2 linked regions of the Caenorhabditis elegans genome follow. The protein of the gene in region 1 purifies or fractionates together with the protein of each later gene. This does not show direct contact. Each region holds a gene or a part of one and is shown in the gene's direction. Other genes may lie near its edges.

Region 1 (4,524 bases):
ATTCCACAATCAGAGAGATTACATCTTTTTCAGACATCATAGGTAGGTGAATCATGTTTATTTCAATCGAATATCTAAAAATTTCAGATACGAATTCAAAAAGGAAGGTTCAAAAGCAGCGCTTCTGGAGTTGGGTCCTCGATTCACATTAAGACTTAAGTGGCTACAGAAGGGTACTTTCGACGCAAAGTGGGGAGAATTCGAATGGGTCCTCAAGGTATGGATTTATTTAAAATTAATTGAATGAAAATTATTAAAAATTTCAGAGACACGAAATGGAAACCAGTCGTCGTCGTTTCTTCCTCTGATTACTATTATTCGTTTTTCAAAGGTTGCAAAAAAATTCGAAGCCCCAATTTTATCCTTACTAAGGTTTTTGAAGTTTTGAACAAATATCTCAATCTCTCCCATGCAACCCTATCATCTTTGTTACTGCTTTTATTTTGTTGTTTTGTTGATGTTATTGAATAATATAATTTGATGCAATTTTTTTAAACTGTTACCTCTAAGGTTTCTGACCGATAATTATCTATTCTGATGATATTTTATTATTATATATATTCGCAGAATTTATTCAGGTTCTGACCATGTTGGGGAACAAATTCGTTGCTCAGTTGGCTCTGCAGCACCTCCGCAATCGAGGACTCGTCAATTCCCCATCTCGTCTGACTTTTGTTCGGTAAATTTTCTTTCCGAATAGTATAGATTTATTTTTTATTCTAGAAATCGATTTGCTTGGGGATCTGATGCTGTTGGTCCAAATGTTCCAGTTGGAGGAAAGATGGGAGCTTCGGAGAATCCAGAATTGCACACCTATGATGGAGACTACCGCGGTACCATCTCGAAGGGGGATAAGCCAATTCCAGATTACTTCTACCGTACTCCAACAACTGGTCGAACCTACATCGATCGTTGTGTAACCTATTTCATCTCAGCTGTCATTTGGGCGTGGTTCTCGTACCACATGTACTATCATTCTGGCCATCTCTTGGGACATTGGTACATGCCATACTTGAGCGAGTTCACGGATGAAGAGCTCGGAATTCCAAAGGATTCTGCCGAAGATCCAGAATACTGGGGCAACCACAAGAAAGAATATGGAACTTATCGATAAATAGTTGACAGAATGTTTTTAGTTCATTCATAGTCTCATTCTTCTTGAAACGACTTGACTTTTATTTTTAACCGTTTCCTGTATGCCTGATTGTAATTCAATAAAGTGGCTTCGAATACGAACATTTTAAAAATATAATTATTTATTTCTAATCTATAACCAAATAACCTAAACTATTCCAAGGTCCGGCACATTGTCTCGTGGACGATAAACTCGCTCTTCTTGGTAGGAAAGAACCTGAAAAAAGACGAATGAAAAACTATTTCGAGCGGAAATTTAGTCTTACAACTTGTTTTTTCGCTTGAAGAGTAGGATCTAGCCTTCCTTCTTGTTCTTGTATCTTCCACATAAACCGATTTACTGGATGTTTGTCGCCTTTCCACCACCTGAAATAAGTATTTCAGTTAAAAATGAATCAATTACAATGTTTTATTACCGGACTCCAACATTGTACATTACTATGTAGAGAAGCGTTGAAGCTACAATTGCAGGACCAGTTCTTTTCATAGGATATGACAGAATTTTGTGGAATCTGAAAGTTAATAATTTTAATTTTAACGCTGGTGAACAACACTTACTTTATTTTCCAATTGGCTTTCCCTGTCGGTTTTGAACTCATCACCACATTTTTGTCACCTTCCATGTTTGAATAATAGTCAATTGTCAAGTTTCAGAGAATAAAATGATCATTAATGGGCAAAAGAAGGTTTTTTTTGTAATTCAGAGACGCCTAGTTTCTGAGAGGTACGGTGTGAAAATGTGTGCATATGTGCGTCATGGTGTTTGCACACCATTTGTGTAATTAATTTACAAGATTTTTGCTCGGAGATTTTTGGCTCAATTTATTGGTTTTATTGATTAAAAATAGATACAAATAATTCATTATTTTAGTAAATTTGTTATTATTTCAAATATATCTGTTTCCAGTCACTAAATGGCCGACGAAACGCCGAAGGTTAAAACAGAACCTGCGGCCGAGGTTAAATCACCCTTGGATGAAGTTAAGGAAATTCGAAAAGAGGCAGAACTGGTAAGTTAATAATAATTCGTACAGTTGCTAATATCCCATGTTCATGTTTTCCAGACACAAACTGGGAGTGACGAAAAGAAAACCACGGACCCGGAATTCATCACAGTACAAGATCCAAATGGAGATGAGCCAATAGAACTTCCTACCGTTGATGGTGTTGTCTTGATGACTACATTGCAAGCATCGTTTCCGGGTGCTACTGGTTTGAAGTACAAAAATCCAAAAACTGGAGCCAACCGAGCTGTTCAGTGAGTGCTTGGTGGAGGTATACTGACTTAAAATTTATTTTATTTTCCAGAGTCGATCCCAGTGGTTTGAAATTAATTGCTCCAGCTGACGGCTGGGAAAATAAAACGTTCTTCGTTATTGTTGCCCCGCGTAAGTTGTTTTTGTTTTATATTAACTAGTTTCACCAAAATTCAAGCTTTTGAGTAGAGACGGTTTATGTGACAGTCTGAGTGAAGACGTTCGAGTGACGTAGTGTGATTCAGAGAGCGAGAGAGTCAGAGCGTTGTCATCAGCTGACGCGACGAGTGCGAAGAGACGTAAAGTGGGATCGAGTGACGACTCGGATTCGGATGACGGTCGTGACGGACGTTCGGGCAGGAAGAGAGCGGTTGAGAGAGACAGCCAGCCAGTTGACCTCATCGTGCTCGGTGTGGACTTCAAAACGACTGACGAGTGCTTTCAGAAATACTTCGAAGATATAGGAACTGTTGTGTTCTGTGAGGTTCGTGAGATGAGTGAAGGAATCTGAAAGTGAGAGAATTAAGTTCACATAGGTTCCATTAAAAATACATATTCAATATTCTTCTTCAGATAAAACGAAAGTCGGATGGAAACTCAAAAGGATTTGGATTTGTCAGAATGTCATCAGTCGGTGAACAAAATAAAGTATTAGCTATCCCACAGCACATGATTGATGGTCGTCGTTGTGATGTGAAAGTTCCAGATGGAAGGGTATGTTATTATACTGATCAATTAAAACTAATAAGTTGAGCAGAGTTTGCAGGACAAACAAGGTCGTCCATCAATCAGTCGAATTTTTGTCGGAAGGCTCACAGACAAAGTAGACGAACATCAACTGCGAAAAGTGTTTGGAGATGAAGCAAAAAGCTATATAGAGACTGCAGTAGTTACCGATGTGTTCATCCCAAAACCATTCAGAGGCTTTGCATTCGTTACGCTGTCGAGCGCCGAAGCCGCGGAAAGAATTGTCAGGTATTGCTAATTTTTTGGAAAACCTGTTAAAAATAACTGTCTCCGGTGTAGCATCACTTTTAAGCACTCATATTTTTCATTCTAGTAAGAAATATAATTTTCAGCAAAGGATCGCTAACTGTCAACGGTTTATCAGTTGGATTGAGCATCGCACAGCCTCGAGAAGAGAATAATCAATCAGTTGGCCCTGATTATGGCCTTCCAGCTGGCTACCGTAACCGCAGAGAACGTGATCGACCGGATAGACGACCGATTCAAAATGAAGCACCTCTGCCCATGCCATTCGTCCGCCCACCACAAGATTACTCATACCGTCAGCAAAATTCTCCCCTCGAGAGGAGATACTGGGCACCTGGAGACTCGAGAGGACCAGGATGGTGATTCTCTCGAAAAATCGTTATTATTCATATTTTTCTACACTTTTCTCAATTTTCTTGTCTGACAATTTGTCATTAGTATTGTTCTCTCACATTTACTAGACCCCTACAATTTTCATGTCGACGCACTTTGCGATTTTATGCTGTATTTTTAATAATGCAATTCTACAATCTCTGAATAAAAAACCTGAAATTAAATCGACTAAAAAACTAGTTCATTCTCAAGAATTGGTAAGACAAGAGGCACAAAAAGTTAGTAAGTTTCCGAGTATTCATTGCACAACATCTCAGAAACGTACTCCGAATTCACAAAGTATGGCGTCGTGTTCACAGAATTCTGGGCAACCTCGGAACTCGTGTTCACATATTTCGGCAGAAATGAAGCTTCAACTTTTTTAACGGCAATATGTTGAGGAACATCGAAAACGAAAATCTCGGACAAAGCATCAAGTTGGTACTGTGATGGGACACGAGCCAAACGAACAGTATTCTCTGCTGGCTTATAATTCAAATCAGCCAATTCATAATAACTTTGTGGACCATCACAATTGACACGTGTAGTTTCTGGATAAGCAATGGTGGATTGTTCAGTGATCCATTGACTTTGAACACTTTCAGTTTCTCTCAAACAATCCTCCCAACCATTATCCGATTCGGCACCCGTGATGACGTCATCAAAGCTCGACTTTTCATTCTTCTCAATTTCCAGAAGCATCTAAATTAAAATAATTCTGTAATTGAAAAGGATAAAAATATAAATCAACTTACCAAATTTCGTTGAA
Region 2 (5,639 bases), on another chromosome or scaffold:
TGTTCGCGTCGAGACCTACACAGTGAGTCTCACCTTTGAGCCAAAAGATGCATTTCTCAAAATTAGGTAAAAAATGTTTGAAAAGTCCAAATTTCGTTTCAGTCAAAAGTTTGCAAAACTCTTATTTTACTTTGTGAACCCCAGAACACCCATTAACAACAGTTCAAAGCAGGTGAACAATTTCATATATCAAGAAAAAAGAAAAAGTATTCAACATTGTACAAAGAATCAATATTTTAGTAGGACTGAAGTTGGCGAAGTGAAATGAATAAAAGTTTTGACACGGATATGAACTAGAACAAGGTTGAAGAGAAATGCAAATTGTACAGAAAATATGAGAAGGGAAATAAATATACACTAAATTGGATGCTATGAGACGGTGCAGTTGGAATTGGAATTTCTTGTTTGATGCGGCGGTGCAACTCGATTGTATTCTTCTTGTTGTAGAGAACGAGCCAGAGCTTCATCTCCCTGGAAACATTTGTGATTTAGTTAGTTGTTTTTTTGAAAATAGATACAAACCTCTGTTCTTGCTTGTGCGGAACATGGATTCATTCGGGAACGCGCGATTGATGTGATTCTGGAAAAATACCTTGAAATTCGATTTATTCAAAACAATAAACTTACGAATCCGTCCAGCTCTTTTTCTGATTTATCTTCATTTCGCCAACTTTTCGCTCACAACTGTGATCCCGCTCGTGTCTGTGAGAAAGGCAGTAGTTGTTTCGACATTTTGAGCAATTCATGGCTACCAGCTCTTTCTTCTTGCATTTTGGGACGGTACACGCGTTTGAATATACTTTTGCACGTTTCGGAGTCTGACAATTGTTCTGAATGTGCTCATTGACCTGAAAAAGAAACAATTTTTATCAATATTTTTGCAGGAATAATTTCAAAATAATTACTTGTTGATCAACATTGACATCTTTCGGCGTTGGAACTGGCTTCTCACATATAGGACAAATAGGAACTTGAACGGACTGAAATTTAATAATTTTAATCTAAAAAAAGATTTTCAAACACTTACAATTCTTGAGCCAGTCGGACAATTATGAGCCTCAAATGTGAAGTGCTCTGAGCAGTAGAAATGTCCACAACCGGAGCATTTGATTGGAAGAAAATCTGAAATAATTATTTTTTTATTTAATTAATTTTTTTTAAATGTTGACTTACCAAGTCTGTTGCAAACTGTGCTCTCACAGTGCTTTCCGAGATTTGGGAACTCCGCCATAGCTGAATAAAGCAAACGATATTGATAGGAAACGAGAGAATATAGACTTTTAAACACAAGAAATGATGACAATTGGAAAAATTCTAGAATTTACCAGAAATGCCAGACATCGGGTTACGAAATTATTGATTTTTATATATTATTGAAAGCTTTTGGACTTTTTAGAACGAGAAAAAATTGAATAATTCAATTTCAAGATTTTTGAAATCAATATCAGCTGATTCGCTAGAAAACGTGACGCTTTCAGTATTTCGTGACGTCACTGCGTACAGCTGGATTAAAGGCGCATGACATTAAACGTGCGGTGGGTCTCACAGCGAAACCGCTTTGCACCTCCTTCTCCCGCTTTTTTTGATTTTCGTCTCTCGCATTTGTCCCAAAACCTTTCATCTTTTTCTGTTTTTTCTTTCTAAATTCGATTTTTCGAACGATTTAAAAGTTGTTTTTCCCATTATTTTTCCCCCTTCTTGCACGGTGTGACGCAAAATACTCACTTGGTTATTTTGGCCCCACTTGTGTTTTATAGGGTAAAACAACCGAATTTCGTCGAAAATTTGGGTCTCTTCAATCCGTCCGTTCTCGTTTGCTACTCGTTTTCTCAGCGCTGCGAATCAATTTAAAACTTGTAATTCGTCAGCGCGTGCTTCTGTATCAAAGGAAGACGAGCCAAACGAGAGGTCTACTAATCGAAGTCGATATTTATTTTCGCAGCAGCCGTTGCACGACCAGAAGTTCGCATTTCAAACTCATATAAAAAAGACAATGGGAGACAGAGGATAGTAAGTTGACTTATCGATTATTGACGTGCATAATTGTTTTTCTTTTTCAGCGGAGGTTCTAGAAGCTATGGAGGAAGCAGCGGTGGTGGATCCCGCGGAGGATATGGAGGTGGAGGCCGTGGTGGCGGCGGCGGAGGATACAGCGGTGGTCGTGGTGGTGGATATGGAGGAGGTGGCGGTGGAGGCTACGGAGGAGGTGGTTATGGCGGCGGTGGCCGTGGAGGAGGTCGTGGAGGATCCAATGGTTCAGCTGGAGGACGCCTTCGCGATGTCGACTGGTCTGCCGAGAACCTTACTCCGATTGAGAAGGATTTCTATCACGAGAATGCAGCCGTATCCCGCCGTGAGCAGTATGAGATTGATCAATGGGTATCAGCAAATCAAGTTACTCTCGAAGGCCGTGGTGTCCCACGCCCGGTTTTCGAATTCAACGAGGCACCATTGCCAGGACAGATTCACGAGCTTTTGTACGGAAAGTTCCAGAAACCAACAGTTATTCAGTCAATCTCCTGGCCGATTGCCATGAGCGGACGTGATATTATCTCTATCGCCAAAACTGGTTCCGGAAAAACACTTGCCTTCATGCTCCCAGCTCTCGTCCACATCACAAAACAGGCTCACCGTCAACGCGGAGAAGGACCAGCCGTTCTTGTTTTGCTTCCAACTCGTGAATTGGCTCAACAAGTTCAAGAAGTATCAATCGATTTCTGCCACTCGTTAGGACTCAAGATGACCTGTCTCTTCGGAGGAGCATCCAAAGGACCACAAGCTCGTGATCTCGAGCGTGGAGTTGATATCGTTGTTGCCACTCCGGGACGTCTTCTCGATTTCCTTGATAACGGAACTACCAACATGAAGAAGTGCTCTTACTTGGTTCTTGATGAAGCCGATCGTATGCTTGATATGGGTTTCGAACCACAAATCAAGAAAATCATCGGACAGATTCGCGTAAGTTGAATCTGTTGTAATTGTGTTTTAATATATATTTTTTCAGCCAGACAGACAAACACTCATGTTCTCCGCCACATGGCCAAAGGAAGTTCGTGCGTTGGCTTCAGATTTCCAGAAAGACGCTGCTTTCCTCAACGTCGGATCCCTTGAGCTCGCTGCCAATCACAACATCACACAAGTCGTCGATATTCTCGAAGAACATGCAAAGCAAGCCAAACTCATGGAGCTCCTCAATCATATCATGAATCAAAAGGAATGCAAAACCATTATTTTTGTTGAGACAAAGCGGAAAGCCGATGAATTGACTCGTGCTATGCGTCGCGATGGATGGCCAACTCTCTGTATTCACGGTGACAAAAACCAAGGAGAAAGAGACTGGGTTCTTCAAGGTTAGTTAAAGTTACCAATTATTTTGTTATAAATACATTTTTCAGAATTCAAAGCAGGAAAAACACCAATCATGTTGGCCACCGATGTTGCCGCGCGTGGATTGGGTTAGTTTGTCGCGCCAACCTAGAAAGGGTCAAATTTTAGATGTCACATATTAGAAAAGTCGGTTTCAGGAGTTTCTGGCTTCCAGTTTTCTTGACAATCGTTACAATAGCATGGTATTCAGCCATATTTGTGATTTATTTGACCCTTTACAGTTACACCAACTTGATTTGGCCGAGAGGATTGATCGAAATGCAATGCAGTTGATTTTGGCAGCGTCTTGTGACGTTATCATATCATACGTTGCAGATGTGTAGTGGCAGAGAGTACCTTCTGGTGCTCTGTGAATGAAATCTACACATCGAGTCGAAGAAAGCGGTTCAGTTTCGCAAGCCGCCAGTATTGCAGTCATATACATTGAGTGCTGTTGTGGCTTGTGCAGGCTGTTCCGATGACTCATCAGTGACTCCGTCGAATTTTTCTCCTCTTCCCCATTCCCATCTTTAGAATTCTGGGTTCAGGTGCGTAAGTACGTATAGCTTAGTCAGAGTTGTATCGGCGGTCTCCCTGTGGTGATTGCTCTCAACCTGGTGAACTAGGTTTTATACGCATCTGGAACCTGTTAATAATTAAAAAATTATTGGAATGGATTTATTTCCCGGCTTATCCGGAGAGAGGAGTTTAAATGGCAATTCACTGTTTCGGTTCACTCGTGTTTATTCTTCTTGGTTCACCTGGTTGAGAGAAAGCGTCGTTCACGCTTTTTGCTCTAATTTGTTTTACAGTAATTTTAATTTAACAATTTTAGATGTCGATGATATCAAATTCGTGATCAACTATGATTATCCAAACAACTCTGAAGACTATGTTCACAGAATCGGTCGTACTGGTCGTAGTGACAAAAAGGTAAATTAGTAGAGAAAATTCAATATTTCATGATTTGTTTTTCAGGGAACCGCCTACACTTTCTTCACTCATACAAACGCTTCCAAGGCAAAGGATCTGTTGAAGGTTCTCGATGAGGCTAAGCAGACTGTTCCACAAGCTCTTCGTGATATGGCAAACCGCAGTTACGGAGGTAGCAACTCAAGGGGTCGCTATGGAGGTGGTGGTTTCCAGAAGAGAGGATACGGAGGAAACGATAACTTTGCTCCAAAGAGGCCACGGTACGTGTTTTTGTGATTAGAAATAAAAAAGTGGAATATGATAACGGATTTTTGAAATCGCACCTAATTTCGAATAAAATTAAATCCTGTAATTTTCAGATATGACAACGGAGGATACGGTGGAGGCAGCGGTGGAGGTGGCCGATGGTAGACGATCTACATATCTTCTCACTCACTTCCGACATTTAAACGATAATTCAGATCTCGTTCGTTCGGTTTTAATGGAACTCTGAACTTCTCCTCATTTTTATTCTTTTTTACTTTTTACTTTCTTACTCTTTGTTTTTTTGAGCGTTGTGCCCATATTTTATTTTTGTTTTAATCAGTAACTGTCATCTCCCTCCAAACTTTTAATAATATCCATCTAGTTTTATCATTGCGTTTTGTGTAACTCGGCTGCAATGGAAACAGTTTTGTTTCAAAGATTGTTTCTTTAATATAAGATCTTTTGAAGAAAATAAATATTGATGTTGATGGAAAAAATTGAAATATATTTTTGTGTTTTGGCTGTTGTCCCCCACTTTTCCTGTTTGCTCTTTGTCTTTTCCTATTGTTGGCACGCGGATTTCTTGTTTTTCATTTTTGTATCCTTAAAACGACACAGGCTCTTCAGGTTCTGTGTTCGTCAGTTCTTGTAGGCATTGAAATTCTTCTTCTCGAGACCTTCTTTTCTATTAATTCAGTCTATTCTATTGCAATCGATATGTGAAAAGTGAGAGATAGATGGGCGGCATTGAAGTACAGTTTTCTCGTTGGCGGGGCGCCACAGACAATTGATCTTTTGTAGAGACGATTGCGTCAGTTTTTAGGCCAATCGCATTTTTTTCCTTGCAAACTTGAACAAAAAACTGACATGATCGTTTCGAGACCCAATGGCAATTGACAGATGTGTACCGGAAGTGGAAGCTTTTTGTTCTCGAACATGGTGAGCAAACAACTCTTTTTGCAGTAGAGCTTGTATATTATATGTTTATAAACTAAGTTTTTCATTAATATAAAGCTAAAAGTATTTAGAGAATTTATTTCAAAATATTTCTGTAATTTTAAAAATATAATGGCCCTAGAGCCACTTTTCCATAA

What was found.
Region 2: the proteins of tdp-1 (region 1) and ddx-17 fractionate together in Caenorhabditis elegans (co-fractionation; one large-scale study listed by BioGRID). This does not show direct contact.

Annotation. Positions count from the first base shown.
Region 1 is NC_003280.10:8,995,786-9,000,309, forward strand, and holds tdp-1 (Tar DNA-binding protein homolog 1), read left to right. Parts: upstream 1-2,039; 5' UTR 2,040-2,048; coding exon 2,049-2,144; intron 2,145-2,198; coding exon 2,199-2,392; intron 2,393-2,442; coding exon 2,443-2,522; intron 2,523-2,625; exon of another isoform or gene 2,626-2,635; coding exon 2,636-2,874; intron 2,875-2,963; coding exon 2,964-3,104; intron 3,105-3,147; coding exon 3,148-3,365; intron 3,366-3,469; coding exon 3,470-3,746; 3' UTR 3,747-3,937; downstream 3,938-4,524. Other genes in the region: Brix domain-containing protein F44G4.1, read left to right, coding at 1-42, 88-217, 267-308; ndub-2 (putative NADH dehydrogenase [ubiquinone] 1 beta subcomplex subunit 2, mitochondrial), read left to right, coding at 588-679, 724-1,114; F44G4.3 (uncharacterized protein), read right to left, coding at 1,283-1,351, 1,401-1,500, 1,551-1,646, 1,693-1,757; F44G4.5 (uncharacterized protein), read right to left, coding at 3,996-4,457, 4,511-4,524. UniProt on the Caenorhabditis elegans protein: RNA-binding protein which regulates transcription, splicing and RNA-editing. Limits the accumulation of double-stranded RNA by maintaining the abundance of the mature RNA transcripts that are formed from double-stranded precursor RNAs.
Region 2 is NC_003283.11:14,008,171-14,013,809, reverse strand, and holds ddx-17 (RNA helicase), read left to right. Parts: upstream 1-1,868; 5' UTR 1,869-1,993; coding exon 1,994-2,010; intron 2,011-2,060; coding exon 2,061-2,958; intron 2,959-3,004; coding exon 3,005-3,350; intron 3,351-3,395; coding exon 3,396-3,455; intron 3,456-3,608; exon of another isoform or gene 3,609-3,914; intron 3,915-4,201; coding exon 4,202-4,299; intron 4,300-4,344; coding exon 4,345-4,559; intron 4,560-4,658; coding exon 4,659-4,710; 3' UTR 4,711-5,039; downstream 5,040-5,639. Other genes in the region: aip-1 (AN1-type domain-containing protein), read right to left, coding at 370-471, 523-580, 628-848, 906-980, 1,028-1,122, 1,174-1,231.